Linked DNA regions of Oryctolagus cuniculus. The protein of the gene in region 4 interacts with the protein of the main gene of each other region in a biochemical or structural test. Links are inferred from orthologs where the notes say so. Each region holds a gene or a part of one and is shown on either strand. Other genes may lie near its edges.

Region 1 (4,246 bases), about 2.5 Mb from region 4:
GGAAATCTCAGTAATTTTTAAGAGTATAAAGAGATCCCTGGATCAAAATGTTTGAGTATCACTTATGTTTATACCCACTATACTATAGATGGTTTATATGCAAGTTCAAATACTCAGATAGAATTAGGAAATAGGTAGACACGTTATAAGAACAAGCACATAGTGTATTTCCCATACACAGGAAAAAGAAACAAGTGTGTCTTTTTAAGAAGTAGTCTTCAATAACAAGCACCATCCCACCAAACTGCTCAGGTTTGCTGTTGCCACCTGAACTTGACTCTCTGCACGCTACTTTCTATAAGTGTTTCTTTACATTTAACATGACATATGACTGAAGTTACTTTTCAAAAGTTTTGAGTGATCACTGTAGCTGTCATTAGATTATCCATAACTGATAATTTTCCAGAAAAAGACTTCCACTAAAAAGTGTTGATGACATGGAAGGAGAGAGTGTGAGGGTGAGTGTGTGTGAGTGTGTGTGTGAGAAAGAGAGGGAGAGCGAGGGCGCACCTCTGCCACAACCTGATCTCCTTCCACAGACCCATCTCACACAGCAGTCCCACACCATCTAGCTTTCCATTATTCAAGTGCCTCATTTATCACAGGATGGGGAACAAATGTTCTGGTCTTAATATGCAATAACAAATGCATCCAAAAATGACCTGGAGAGTTCACCAAGCCCGTAAAGATACTGGTCATGATCTTACAATTCCCCGGTTGCTCTCAAACAGAGCTCCATGAGTTGTGAAGCTAAATGACATCTGTTAAACGCTGCAGCAGAAGTGATCACAGTAATAGGGAATCGGATCAGTTAAATTCTCCTTAACTCTTACCAGACAAACCGGGGATCGGCAATGATTCCAAGCTTACAACTTTGAATGAGGTCAATAATCTTAAGAAACCCAGTGAGCCTACTTAAAACTTCTGTTAATAAAAAAATATGTATCAACACTCAGTACTTCAATTTTTTACTGCTCAACCTGCTTCTCATCTTCGGGAAGTTTTAGAGTGTAATGCTTTTCTGTTATAAACCCACTGATGATAAAAACTCTAACCGCCCGTCTGGACAGCATCATGAAGCTGCACTGTTATCAGGAACCCACTGAAGACAAAGACTCTCACCATGAAGGCAGCACTCTCCTTCCCATCTGCGTGCCATCCAGTGACAGCAACAAGGCAACCTGACTGCCTCCCTGGCACATGCTGCGTCGTGAGCTGCCCTCAGAGCCCTCAGATCACAAAGGAAAACCCCCAGAGAAAGCCCAGAACACAGAAATGCGCATGGCAGGTCAGAAGGCCTGAGGAGTCAGAGAGCCCGGGACACCAGGTCCAGAGGAAAGACACTCACAATTTCGCATAAAAGTCACAGAACTCCTTGTAGACTTTTATGTCACTGTGCCTGCGCTGCAGTTTGGACACGGCCCTCTCATCTTCACTCCCATTAGCCTGGTGGACGCTGTTCAGGACTGTCTGGGACAGCTCTTCATTCTCTGGGATAGCGCAGGGGCGCACTTGGCCTGGGAAAGCCATTGTGGATGTAGCCGAGAGCTCCCCGCACAGGGACTGGTGCGACAGGACGCGGCAGGGGAAACAATATCCAGGCCTCCCCGCCTCCCTGCCAGCGTCACACCCCCGTTCCCACGCATGTCAGCCCAGCTGCCAGCGTTGCAGCTGACACTCCACAGAAGGGCTCAGCAGCACAGCACTTGGTCGGCACACCAGCCTGCATTTTGTGAGGCCTTCCGGAAGTTCTAGGAGCACAGTGGTGTTCAGAGCAGCCTTGCTGGTGAACTGCAACCATAAAGAATACCACAGGAAGAGAGGACTTAACACCCACAGTGCCCTGGGCAGGCATCTGGCTTCACCCCCACCAACCAGCACCGTGCTCTCAGCTTTGGTGGGCATACGAATCTTTGGCTAGCTTGTCAAACACCCCCGACGAGCCCTTCGAGAGGCTGGCGTTGCCAGACACTGGGAGCCTCCCTGCCTGGGGCACCCTGGATCTCAGGGCATGATGGCCAGCTATGCCATGGCTGCCTTCCCCCAGGACTCCAGGAGCCTGCTGCGAACAGCTGTGTTTGACTTCTATCACCTTCGCCCTTGGCACACAGCAAGAGTTCAACATTCAGTGAATGCATGCAGGCAGAAATAGGGAAGTGCTAGAATTTAATCGTAACTCTTTTTCCAATCTCACCCCAGCTAACCCCATAACTCAGGGCTAGTGTTTCGTGATCTTTGTCACGACTGAAGAAGACATTCCATGCTTTGCCATTCTTGCTGTATTTAGTCCATACTACCAGGTTCTCTTGGATTCTTATCAGTAATGACAGTGACCATGATGAGGTCCCAGGGCCCACAGAACCTCTCTCAGGGCTCAGTCCTTGCAGCACAGGGTGCCATCCAACAATTACAGAGGCCAAGGGCAACTTGATATATGTTGATTTTTTAGCAAGGTTCCTCGCTCATGGCATAGCTCCTGCCGAGGGCAGGCCCTGTAACACGTGGAGGCACAATGAGGGTGGAAGCTCTATGCCCTTCCCCAAGTCTCTTCCACCTAGCTGCTTCTGGCCCTTCAGGGGATACCACAGGAAGGGGAAGCTACTGCTTTTTTCTGGTTGCCTCTATTTGCAGCTGGGAATATGTTAATGAGGGTACGTGGCATACAGTACCCTAAATAGAACTTGTAAACTTTTAAAAAAATTATTTATTTATTTATTTGAAAGGCAGAGTTAGAAAGAGAGGGAGGAAGAGACAGAGAGAGGGATATTCCACCTGCTGGTTCACTCTCCAAATGGCTGCAATAGCCAGGGCTTGGCCAGGCAGAAGCCAGGAGCCAGGAGCCAGGAGCTTCTTCTGGGTCTCCCACGTGAGTGCAGGATCCAAGGACTTAGGCCATCCTCCACTGCCTTCCCAACCACATTAGTGGGGAGCTGGATGTGAAATGGAGCAGCCAGGACTGGAACTAGCGCCCATAGGGGGTAATAGTGTGGCAGGTGGCAGCCTTAGCCACTACACCACAGAGCTGGCCCAAAAACTCCAAAACATTAGGCACCTCAATACGAGCTGGTTTTATGATCAAAGGTATCATATATTATGAAAATATCTTTAAAATATTTAATCAATCAGTTTAAGAGTATTGAAGACATATTTGCACTGTTTCCAAATGCCAGAACTAATTCTTTCCTCTTTTCTTTCTGCCAGACAGAAAAGGGAGCTGAGGTTCTGAAGGAAGAAAAGATGGCCATGAAAGACTTAGAGATCTCCTGTCACACATCCACTTCCCATCAGCCTCTCCTTAGGAACAAAAGCCCCAATCAGTTATTCTCAGCATAAATACTGAAGCAGAAACATTTCTCTGCAACTCACACATGCTAGGAGGGCTGATAGTAAGTCTTTCTCTGCCTTTCAAATAAAGTGAAAATACGTAAATAAGAGTTTTTAAATTAATTGCTAATATTATCCCATTGTTTATTTTTTAAAAAAGATTTAATTAGAGATCTTTCACCCGCTGGTTCACTCCCCAAATGGCCACAATGGCCAAGGCTGGTCCAGGATGAAGCCAGGTGCTGGGAACTCCATCTGGGTCTCCCATGTAGGTGGCAGGGGCCCAAGTACTTGAGCCATCATCTGCTGCTTTCCTAGGAACATTAGCAGGGAGCTGGATTGGAAGTGGAGCAGCTGGGACTCGAACCAGCGCTCTGACATGCGATGCTTACAGAGCAAACAGTGGACCAATCTGCTATATCACAAAACTGGCCCATTTACTTTTTTTTTTTACCCCCGAAAACCTTTTATCTAAGGTATACAAACTCCATTGACTTTTAAAAAAATATTTATTTTAAAGGCAGAGTCACAGAGGAGAGAAGCAGAGAGAGAGATCCCTTCCCTTCCATCCACTGGTCTCTCCAAATGGCTATAACAGCCAGGTTTTTGCCAAGCTGAAGCCAAGAGCCAGGAATTCCACTCTGGTCTTCCATAGGGGTGGCAGGGCCCCAAGCTCTTAGACCATCTGCCACTGTCTTCCCAGGAGAACTAGCAGGAAGCTGGATCACAAGCCAAACAGCTGGGACTTGAACTAGTACTATAATATGGGATGCTGGCATCGCAAGTGGCAGTTTGACCTACTGAGCTACAATGATGGCCCCGTATACTTTATTTATTTATTTTAATTTAAGAAGGTGAGGGAGGGAGGGATGGAGGGAGGGAGAAACACTCTCATCTTCCTATCTGCTGGTTTACTCCCCAA
Region 2 (4,298 bases), on a different chromosome or scaffold from region 4:
ACCCATAGCCCTTAGCATCCCAGTGGCCTCCACACCCTCCTGCCCTAAGTCCCCTATGATGCTGAGAGGGCCCAGGAGAAAGGCAGGCATGGGCTGGACAGGAAGGGAGAGGACTCCACAGCCGGGAGGGGACCTCAGGCCCCCCAGCTCAGCCCCATTTCCCCTAGCCAGGTTCGGAGGTCCACCCCAAAACAGAACAGCATCCCTATCCCTTTAGGCTAAGGTTTGGGTCAAGCCATTCCTGTTGTGTGGACTTTGACCAACTCTTAAGGCCTCTTCATTGGCTAAGGAGCCTTGGCCAAGTCCGTGGGTTCTCTGAACTTCAGTTTTCCACCTGTGCCCCTGTCTCAGGATTGTTAGAGACGGAACGGAGCCATCTGCACTTGAGCACCTGCCTACAGGAAGCGCACTGCAACTTCTTAAAAACTTGAGGCAAGGGTTTCATCCAGCAGGAGTACAGGTGATCCCAGTTCAGGAGAAAATGCGCATTGTATTTGACCTTGAAAGTCAATATATTTTTCTTTTTACATTTGAGCCTTTCTTTGCTATTGTTTTTTTTTTTTCTTGGACATGAAAATGAACACTTTTAGTAGAAAGAGGGAAGGAGGTTCTTGGGAAGATCACACTGGAATTAAAATATGAATGAACAGTGAAAAGGATGCGTTTGGTGCAATTTACAAATCTTGACCGCTGAAAAAGATCTCAGCAAAATCCTGGCCCCCTGGCCCTTGCCCCTGGGCCTCCCCTTCCAACATCCCTGCCCCAGCCCACAGCCCTGGGGTAGAACCTGGCTGCTGGGTGGGATGTGCCTGCCTCTGTAACCATTCCCCATGCAACACACTCAGTGTCTCTCTGTAACTCAGCGTGAGGACCTGAGGAGGCCCCGGTCAAGAGGAGTCTACCCCAGCAACGCAGCCGCCACCGCCTGCTCTGCTCCCAGGCAAGGAGAGGAGGGCGGCCCCTCGCCATGGGCAGAGGTGAAGTTGCACGCCCAGGGAAGGAGGGAGGGAGGACAGGGACCTCCCTCTGCAGCCACCCAGCAGGCATGGGGCCACCTCCTGCTATTTACAACAGATCTGGCCCAGCACCTTGAGGGCGTTCCTGGAGAGGGCAGAGTTCAGCCTGCGTCCCCAAGTCATCAGGGAGACTGATGTTTGGCAACACAAGGCCCAGACACACAAACACAGACCATAATTCAGGACCACCTGGCACAGCCCCAGACACACACTGACAGCTCGCAGACAATGCGGCAAGGCCCTGGCGAGGACCCGGGAGAGCACCACGGATGCACTGCCACCCACAGCTCCCCAGACTCCCTGAGTGCCAGGGGCCACCTCACCCTGCTCCCACAGCACCCTCACCCAGGGATGCAAGGGGCAGTGCCCCCCACCGGCTCAGGTGGACCCCAATCATCATTTTCAATGTGCGGCTAAGGCTTGTGCTGCCCTGGGCCGGCTGTGAGCCCCACCACAAGCCAGCAGCCGCCTCCCTCTTTGGGCCCCGTTTTTCACCTGCAACGTGGCCTTCTGTTAGGAAGACGAAAGGAGGGAATGCATGCAAAACACCACCCACGGGCCCAGCAGAGTGTACTGGGCACAGAGTGTGTGTTAGCTTTTATCCTGACTTCGTGCAGGCGGACAGCAGGGTCGGGATACACACCTCTCCACTCACCCTCCCCGTCCCCTCACAGCAGGAAGCAAAAAGACAGCAGAAGCACCCGGCCCCTGGGATACCCCCGTCTGGCCACAGCTGCCCCGATATGCCGCCCGTGGAACTCTCCAAACCAGGAAACCCACCCTCACCCCTCTCTGGTCCAGGCTCTCCACAAGTCACAAAGCCCGCAGGCCCTGTAGGAACTGGCTCAAAACAAACCAGGGCCCCTCCCCCTCGCCCAGACCCCAGCGCCAGGGACGCGTGCAGCTCGCCAGGCCACTCTCCCCGGCCCGCGGGGCAGGTTGCTCTGCCCACCTCCCCCTTCACCCCCGGCCCCGCCTGAAGCCGGTACTCAAACGCGGGCGGCTGGAGGGGGCGGGGAGGGGGGAGGGGCAGGGCAGAGAGGACCCCCCCCCAAGGAATCCAGCCCAGTCCAGTCCGGAGGCGGAGGCTGCCAACTGGAAAGGCTTTGAGAAGGCTGGCGGGGGCTCGGCGCGGGGAAACACGCTCGCGCGCGCGCGCGCGCACGCACACTCCCACACCCACCCCGCAATCCACCTCGGCGAAAACTTTGGGCGCAATCTCGGAGAACTTTTCTGACAAGTCCCCGGAGCCCGCTGGGAGTCCGGCAAGCGCCCGGGCCCTAGAAAGGGGCGATCTCGAGCCGCTTCGGTGGGGGTCGCCCCCAACCCCGCCTCCACCTTCTCTCGCCCCCTCCCGGCCCGAGCGCCCCGCGCCGGGAAAGCCCGAACTTAACGAAACTTCGGCGAGGAGGGCTCGTCGGGCTCCTCGGCCCCCGCCAGCCTGGGACTTCGGACCGGAGACCCAGGCTGCGGGGGGGGCCCTTCACTACCCCATCCCCTCCCCACGCCAGACCCACCTTGGGTGCCCGCGGTTCCGGGGGGCAAAAGGGCGAGGAGGAGCCCCCAGCGGTACCAGGCCGCCAGCTCCATGGTGCTCACTGCGGCTCCGGCCCCATGGCTCCGGCTGGACCAGGCTGGGAGTGCGCGGGGCTCGGCGAGGGGGTGGGGGCCGGGCGCGCGGCTGCCGGCGGGCACTCCTAGTCTCTCGGCTCGCGCTGGAGGGGAATCTCAGCTCCACAACTTCATTCTCGTACTTCCTCAAGCAATCCTACTCCTCCACCACCTCCTCCTCCTCCACCTCCTCCTCCTCCTCCTCCTCCTCCTCCTCCTCCTCCTCCTCCCGTGATTGGGAGCAGGCGCGCTCACGGCTCGCCCCCCCACCCCCGCCGCTGCATTCCAGCAAGTCTGGGAGTGGCAACTCCAGCTTCGCTTTCTCCCTCTCCCGGCGCAGGCCTGGGTGCGTCCGTGCCAGCGCCCGGACGCCGGGGTTGCCCGCAGCAGTCCTCACGCAGAGCCGGGCAGAGGGATCCCGCCGCCTGCCCCGGAGTGCGGGCGAATTCTCCAGGCTGCCACCCTCCGGTCTCTCCGAAGCCTCGGGTTAGATCTGCAACATTCCCGGGGAGTTTGCATCCTACCGCGTCCCGCGCCTGTTTGTTGTGGTATCGAATAATGGCTTGCCCGCCGGCGCACTCAAGTAAACCTGCCGGCCTGGGAGCGGGGATGAGCTGGGGTCCAGGTGCGGCCTCCAGGAGCCCTTTGGACAGCTCCTCGGCTGTTGTAGGGATCTGGTCCGGGCTGAGAAGCAAGACCTACACATTTGGGAGGGGACAGTGAAATCGGAGGCAGCAGGGCTTCAGTCCCTGGCCGAGCGTTCTTGTTTTCCGTAAGGCTACGCGCAGAACCCAATCCCTCCCAGGTTTGTTCCTCGCCTTTTCCCGCCTGCTGAGCGCCACCCCTCCACCCTGCATCCATCCCGCCTGAATTCCGGCCCCTACTCTTAAACCTCCGTGGTGGCAGTGCGCCTGGAAAGAAGACCGATTTTTGCTGAAAGACAAAATACGACATGGGACATTGTATCCTAACAAATTGCTCATTATTTATCTGAGATTCAGATTTACGGGGCACCCTTATTATTATTTGCTAAATCTGGCAATTCTGAATGCCCCCCCACTCCACCCCGGAGCCCAAGAGCACATCAGTACGGGTCAAGAGGAGTGAGACGCTGCTCTGGGGTCTGGAGAGAGAAGCAGACGGACGTTTCCTAACCTGCGTCGTGGGCTGAGCACTGAGAGAGGCAGGCTGGGAACAGCGGGCTCTGGAATCAGGGAGCCCTGTGTTCAAGTCGCGGCTCCATCACATATCAGCCACTCAGACGGCACTTGGCACATGAAGATTGCTCAGTACACACTTCCAGATTTACTCATAGTGGGAGAGATGTAGGTTTTGTGGGGTCTGGGGTTTATAAAATTTGAGAGACTCTCTTTAAAAAAGAGTTGGAGAGAGATGGCAGGACTCCCACATCAGAGTCCTGGCTGCACCATGCTTCCGATTCAGCTTCCTGCTAACGTGCCTGGGAAGCAGCTGATGATGGCTCAAGTGCTTGGGTTCCTATCACCCACACAGGAAACCTGAATGGAGTTCCAGTCTCCTGGCTTTGGACTGGCTCAACCCTGGCTGTTGTGGGCATTTGGGGAGTGAACCAACAGATGAAAAATAAACCTCTCTCTCTCAAATAAATAAATACATATTTTTTTTTAAAAGAAAGTGATGGAGAGGCCAACA
Region 3 (4,056 bases), on a different chromosome or scaffold from region 4:
GAGTTCGGCAATCATTTGTGCCTACCTCCTTGGTGGATGGATAGGAAAACCAAGACCCAGAGAGGGATGGACTGGCCCACGGTCACAGGGGTTGATGGGCTGCTGACCACCTCTGGAAAGCTGCGTGGCCTCCACAGCTGATGCTGGGTCCCCAGGGCTGTCCCGACCCCACTCAGCTCTAGAATCAGAGATACCCAGGTGCAGGCCCCCGGCTCCATCACCCCGCTCGGCCAGTGGCCTCAGGGCTGCCCCCAGGAAATACAGGGACCTCATTCAGCGCCTTAGGTCATCTCACGGCTCCCACAAACTGCCCTACTGCTCACAGAGGAGACTGAGGCCCAGAGAAGCAAAGCCCTGGCGCAGAGTCACACAGCCAGAAGCTGAAGGGACAGAGGGCTGGTCACTAACTGGTCATCTGATGCCCGAGCCTGGCTTTGTTTATCCACGGTGCCCACTGCCTCCCAGATGTAGAAGCAGCCTGGGGAGGGGACAGGAGCTCTGAGGTTGGCCCCACACGGATTTGAATGAGCCAGGGCCAGTGCTCTGTCTGCTGACTGTGAATGCACGGTGCTTTCCACCACCTGCCTCACATCTGGCGCCAGTTACAAGTCCCAGCTCTTCTCCCCACAGAGGAGGGAGGGCTGCCCGGTAACTTCTGTCTAAGAGCAGGAGAGCAGGGTGCTGGCCACACAGGCTCCTTCCTCTCTGCAGACCAAGCTAGGGCCCTGCAGAAGACAGCTGCACTCCCTCCATCCCGCCAGGGGCAGGCTCCGCACGCACGCCACTGCTCCCTGGCCAGGAGCGCTCTGGCAGCAGGAGGGTTAAGCCTTTGGCTTAAGACAGACTCTGGTCCCAGCACCAACCAGACTGACTTGCGTAGCCCTGGGAAAGCCACTCTGCCTCTCCCAGGCTTGGTTTCCTCATCTGCACAGTGGAGTAACAACAGGGATTTCAAAGCCTCGCTAAGAAGATTGCAGAGTGTGCCTGCCTGCCTGGGACTGGATGTCCCCGAATGGGTGAGACACAGGAGGACTCGATGACTGTGAAGCAGCTTGATGAAGGCCTTTGTGTGCTCTGGGGACGACAGAGGCAAGCAGAGCCATCCCTCGGTGCCCAGGGCTGGCGCAGGGGACAGAAGGCAAGACAGGGAAGCCTGGGGCCTGGACAGGCTCTGATGCGTAAGTGGCACACAAGCAAGAGGAGGGGGCCGAGCAGCAAGGCTGCCACACGAAGTGCATGGCAAGCACTTGCAAGACTGGAAGGAGCCAGGAGGGCTGCCTGGAAGAGACAGAGCAGGGAGGATCCCTGGAAGAAAAGTGATGAGGAAGGGCATTCCAGGCAGAGGACGCGAGGGCAAATGCCCACAGGCAGGCTGGTACAAATTCCTTCTCGGATTCTAGGATCTGCCTGGCAGGAACAAAAGGCCCGAGTCTGCAGCAATGAGGCAGGGGCGCTTACAACCTCTCCAAGACCTGCCCCCAACTCGCCTCACTGCACCCCCCACCGTGGAAAGCAGGGGAAAATAGCCGCCCAGTGCCTCTGGTGAGCACTGCAGCAGAGCCCGCTCACAAAGCACAGCCCTGGCATGCAGCAAACGCCAATCGGTGCAGCTGGGGCTCCTGCGGGCACTGGGGAGCCACCGGCAGCCTCCGGTTCCAGGATGGAGAGGAGAGGGGCACAGTCCAGCTGGAGGGAGGCGAAGAGGGGTCCTGAGAGCTGCCGCCTACGCCTGCGCCTGCAAAGGAGCCCCCAGATCTGACAGCCGGGCCTCAGTTCCCCAGCCCCAGCGGCCACGGGGGCCTCCCTCACCCTCAAAACTTTCCCAGCGGCTGGGGGTTTGGAAGGACATCTCAGGAATCTGGAAAATTTGCAAATCCATTTAAATCCCCAGAGGTTGCCTAGTGGCAGGCTGGCCCAGGGCCAGAGCCGATTCTTAGAAGCAGAGCTGGGCCGAGGGGCAGGGGCTGTGGCCCTGAGGTCCCCAGTGCCCCGCGAGGCCCCCTTTCTCTGCCCCCTGCATGCCATCCCCCAGTTCCCCTCACTCCTGCTCCTGCCAGCTATCCCCAGCCCCGCAGCCCGTACTGTGCCTCGGTGGTCCCCACATGGCCCCCACATGGCCCCCAGAAACTTCTGGGGGTGTTTGATGAGGGCAGGAGGCAGCAGGGCTCATGGGGGTAGGGGGCAATGGCAGAGGCCACCCATCCCAGAGCAGGAGAATGGAGAGAACTGGCTCCTCCAGTCCTGACATCACCCAGAGCCGCCCAGCCTCTTCCCATCTGGTTTTGTTAAAAATATTTCGCATTTTTTATTTTTTTTTTTACCTACCCAAAGAGGCACAGGCTGGGGTAAGGGGACAGGGCACTGGGACTGGGGTTCCCACCTCTCCCAGTTCTTACCTTGCTGCTGAGTGTTCTGGTGTGAGTACTGTCCCGGGCTCTGGACTGTCACCCCCTCCAGGAAGTCCTCCTTCTTGCCCTCTCCCCGTTATCACAAAGACTTCGCTGGACCCACAAGGGGCAGCAGCAGGGGTAGAAAGGCAAGAAGGGCCGTGGCAGACTCCTGGAGACTCAGGAGAACGGAGGGTCCGGGGGCTGCAGGGGAGGAGCGGCCCAGTTTCGCCTCACGCCCCAAGCATCCTTGGGGAGGAGCAGGGCCGCCAGGAGGGGCCGCCCTGGGTCTGGCTGGCTGAGCGGGCAGGGCACCGGCCAGGCAGGGCTCAGGGGCTCAGCCGTCTCCTCCCTGTTGATCTCCTCTCTGGCTCGCAGAACTGTCCCGGGTCCCAGAGAGGGCGGGCGGGGACTGCCGGCCCAGGCGGCCCCAGGAGCTCGCACCACTGTGGGCTTCCCTGCCCCCCCACTCTGGGGGAAAGGCTGCAGGGCGGCTTCTGATTGGCCCAGCCGGGGGAAGGGGGGTGCGGGCGGGCGGGAGGGTGGGCGCGTGCGTCTGTTTTCAATTTCAGGTTTTTTCCCTCTCTCTTTCTTTTCCCCGTTTCTTGTTTTTCTTCCTCCTTTCCCTCTGCTTTCTCCCTCCCGTCGCCTGCTCTCTCAGGATGTGAGGGGATGTTTAGAAATTCCGCAGCCCACGCCAGCCGCTGAGTCACTTTTATTAAAGAGTGGCCGGGCCTCACTCGCCTGCCGCCTGTATCTGGTGGCTGGTGGCAGTCTCCTCTTGCCATGGCACCTGGGGGAGAGGGAGAAATCACCCTGTGCCTCAGTTTCCCCAGCTGTCAAGAAAGCTCTGGTCATCTATAGGGCCGGTTGGGCCATCAGTCAGTTCTTCTGCAGGCATATTAAGCAACTGCTGTGTGCCAGCTGGGGTACTCAGGGCTGGGGACAGTGGCATAGCAGCCGCCTCTGATCGGGGGCCCTGGCTGAGCAGGAGGAGAGGCGGGGAGAGTGGACTCAGGGGTGGGGGTCGTCCAGCCTGAAGGCCATGTCAGGCAAGGCACGGAATCAGGCTGCCTGGCCCTACCAAGGCAGCCACAGGCAGGGCCTAAAATTCAATAAATCCATAGCAGGCTCATTTTTAAGCTGATCATTTTGTATGGCCTGGGAATCATACTATAAATACCTAAATGACCCTTGGCAGAAAAAAAGGCTCCCCACCCCCGAGAGGGACATGTGACCTAAGCTTGAGGGAACCAGGGAGCGCCTCTCAAGGATGGGACCCAGAAGGGAGGGAAGGACACCCCAAGATGCTCAGAGGGCAAATGCAAGGCTCGATGCGAACCGGCCAGGGAGGAAATACAATCTGCCCAAGGACACCCAGCACACCGCTTCAGATCTCAAGATACATGTTTTGGGTGCTCAAAGCCCCTAGAGGACAAGAAGAGGATTTGTCCCCATTTCACAGGCAAGGAAACAGAGGCCCGGAGAAGTGAGCTGCACTTCCTGGGCCCACAGGGCAGGGGCAGAGCTGGCAGAACCTGACTTCGGGAGACGCATGCCAGAGGAGACACGCCCGCCAGCACAGATGGCACCCCTGCCCTCCTTCTCCCCTGCCCTGGGGCACTTCCATTCCTCCCACCCGCCTTCCCCACAGGGGTCTGCCAAGGCC
Region 4 (2,242 bases):
CACCCGGCTCTGAAATTCCTTCCAAAACTCTGGGTTTGCATCCCCTTGTGCATGACGTCATGCCTAACCGTCTTGGTCCCTACAATGGGGATCACGGTGGTGGTAAGCACGGGGTGGGGAGGACGCGCCATGTGCATCAGTCCTGGTCCACTAAGAGGGCACTGATCCGCGTGCCGTGAGTTGCACTCCCACGGCCTGGCATGCGGCCGCCATCCACTAAACACGGACAGATGGAGAGAGCCAGAGCGCAACATCCGAGGAGGGCCACCGGGAATGCAAAGACTCTGGCTGGCGACCGTCGAGAAAACATTCTGAAGCCAGCAATTCTCAAAGAGCGAAGTTAAGAGCAAGCTTGTTGGAGTTTCCCTCGTTAGCAGGGGTTATTTCAATATTCAAAAACGCGGTGGCAAGAAAGTCACAGGGAGTGCACTCCTGACCCTGCCCTTGAGCCTGGTTCTTCCTTTCAAGCTGGGAGAAGTCACCCAACACAGCGGTCACCCCTCCCCCACAGCAGTTAGCGTCTCCCCAAAGACAAACGCACACAGGATCGTGTCATAATACTTTTTTTTTTATTACAATATTCAAAAAAACTGGGTATGCAAGTTTAGGGGATCGCAAGACCCCTTCTTCCATCATAGGAATGTGCCATCTCAAGACTGTATATTTAAACTATAAAGAAGTTCAAATGTAAAGAAAAAAAGGGAACACGATTTCTTCATAAACATCTTGTGTCTCTGACTACCAATCACATTTTCTTTTGTAAACCCTGAAAAATTTCCCTGTAAAGCAAATAAAATATTTAAGTATATACACACACATACACAGACATGCACACGCATGTGTACAGCGTGCATGTGTGTGCGTGGGTGTGTGTATGCTTGTGTGTGGAGTGTTGGTAGCTCCGCTTCCCCCACAGATCAGCTGTTTTCCTGAATCATCCCGCATTAGTGTCAACAACCAGCTACAGATACGTAGGACTTGGAGAACTGAATACATCACCGTGAAGTTCAAAGGAGCTGCAGGCAAGAGCAAACAGCGCTACGTGGATGGCACACTTCAGGGGTCAACGACCAAAACGCGTGTCTTATCTTGAGTCACCGGGTCCCTCCGTTGCAGAATGCCTCTCGAGGAAAATTCTTTATTGCAAGCACGGCCCCAAGGCACTGGACAGCTCCCTCGTGGCCTGCGCAGCCTGGGGGCCCTGGCTGCGTGCACGGTGGCCCTCCAGCCGTGCCCAGGGTCTCCACGTGAGCAGAGGGTTGCCGCCACTAGTTGGAGAGAAATAAAGTGAAGACACTCGGCCCTTCCGCCTCCTTCTAAGACCAGCCAGGAGGGATGGTCGCACCCGGCGGTGGCGCCCGGAGCTGGTGGGCGCAGCGCGGCGCGGCCCCGACCCGAGGGCCCACGGCACAGGTCACTGCAGCGCCCGGACGAGGTAGAGCTTCTCCCCGTGCTCGCTGGTGAAGATGGGGGCCTTTTTGTAGTGTTCCACCAGCTCGTCCATGGTGTGGAATCGCCGCTGCCCAATGCAGTACACATTGTCCACGAGCTGCACCTTGAAGTGTTTGTTCTTCCCTGACGCTTTGAGAGACACGGAGAAGTCGCTGGGCTGCGGGAGCAAACGGCACAGATTACACCAGGGCCCGAGAGGGCGCGGGCTGCACGCTCTGGGGTACTCCACCCCTCTCCCCACGGGCCACACCCCCGGGCCACAGGGTTCCCAGAGGCGCAGGTGTCTACCACGGCACCTGCCGCTCCGCCCGACGACCCCTGCTCAAGGACTTCATTTGGCTGAGTATTCAGTGCTGAACACACCTCCTTCTTTGACACGTGGGACCCGAATGCTAGGAAACACTTTTCACTTCCCGAGCTGTTTTTGAGAAACTGGAATCTAAGACAAGTGGTTTCCATGCAGGCAGAGGCTAGAAATTTCCCTTCTTCTGACTTCTAATACTATTAGAAATTAAACCTTTTTTTTTTTTTTTAAAGTCTAAGCCATTTAAAAATAAACGCCTAGGGCAGGTGTCTGGCCTAGTGGCTAAGATGCTGGTAAGATGCTTGGCGTGTACAAAGGGAGGAGGGCCTTGCCTCATTTTCAGCAGTGAAGGGAAGGGGGAGGGGTCCTGGCCTCCCTGGGTGACCTCAGCCCCTCGGAGCTCCCCCCGCAGCTGCGTCACCTGGCCCCTGCCTATTGTCCCAATCAATGAGCCTAAAGCATAACCTCCCCCACACAGTGCCCATT

Evidence for each region.
Region 1: the proteins of NCK2 (region 4) and LIMS1 form a complex in vitro, tested with the Homo sapiens proteins (4 studies listed by BioGRID and IntAct, with this or other methods). The link is inferred for Oryctolagus cuniculus from reciprocal best matches to the Homo sapiens genes NCK2 and LIMS1.
Region 2: the proteins of NCK2 (region 4) and ERBB2 form a complex in vitro, tested with the Homo sapiens proteins (2 studies listed by BioGRID and IntAct, with this or other methods). The link is inferred for Oryctolagus cuniculus from reciprocal best matches to the Homo sapiens genes NCK2 and ERBB2.
Region 3: the proteins of NCK2 (region 4) and PDGFRB form a complex in vitro, tested with the Homo sapiens proteins (2 studies listed by BioGRID). The link is inferred for Oryctolagus cuniculus from reciprocal best matches to the Homo sapiens genes NCK2 and PDGFRB.

Annotation. Positions count from the first base shown.
Region 1 is NC_091433.1:100,159,091-100,163,336, forward strand, and holds the start of LIMS1 (LIM and senescent cell antigen-like-containing domain protein 1), read right to left. Parts: upstream 2,834-4,246; 5' UTR 1,531-2,833; coding exon 1,349-1,530; intron 1-1,348. UniProt on the Homo sapiens protein: Within the IPP (ILK-PINCH-PARVIN) complex, binds to F-actin, promoting F-actin bundling, a process required to generate force for actin cytoskeleton reorganization and subsequent dynamic cell adhesion events such as cell spreading and migration.
Region 2 is NC_091448.1:22,692,060-22,696,357, forward strand, and holds the start of ERBB2 (receptor tyrosine-protein kinase erbB-2), read right to left. Parts: upstream 2,828-4,298; 5' UTR 2,607-2,827; coding exon 2,534-2,606; intron 1-2,533. UniProt on the Homo sapiens protein: Protein tyrosine kinase that is part of several cell surface receptor complexes, but that apparently needs a coreceptor for ligand binding. Essential component of a neuregulin-receptor complex, although neuregulins do not interact with it alone.
Region 3 is NC_091437.1:37,460,069-37,464,124, forward strand, and holds the start of PDGFRB (platelet-derived growth factor receptor beta), read right to left. Parts: upstream 2,842-4,056; 5' UTR 2,397-2,841; intron 1-2,396. UniProt on the Homo sapiens protein: Tyrosine-protein kinase that acts as a cell-surface receptor for homodimeric PDGFB and PDGFD and for heterodimers formed by PDGFA and PDGFB, and plays an essential role in the regulation of embryonic development, cell proliferation, survival, differentiation, chemotaxis and migration.
Region 4 is NC_091433.1:102,702,010-102,704,251, forward strand, and holds the end of NCK2 (cytoplasmic protein NCK2), read right to left. Parts: intron 1,610-2,242; coding exon 1,415-1,609; 3' UTR 548-1,414; downstream 1-547. UniProt on the Homo sapiens protein: Adapter protein which associates with tyrosine-phosphorylated growth factor receptors or their cellular substrates. Maintains low levels of EIF2S1 phosphorylation by promoting its dephosphorylation by PP1.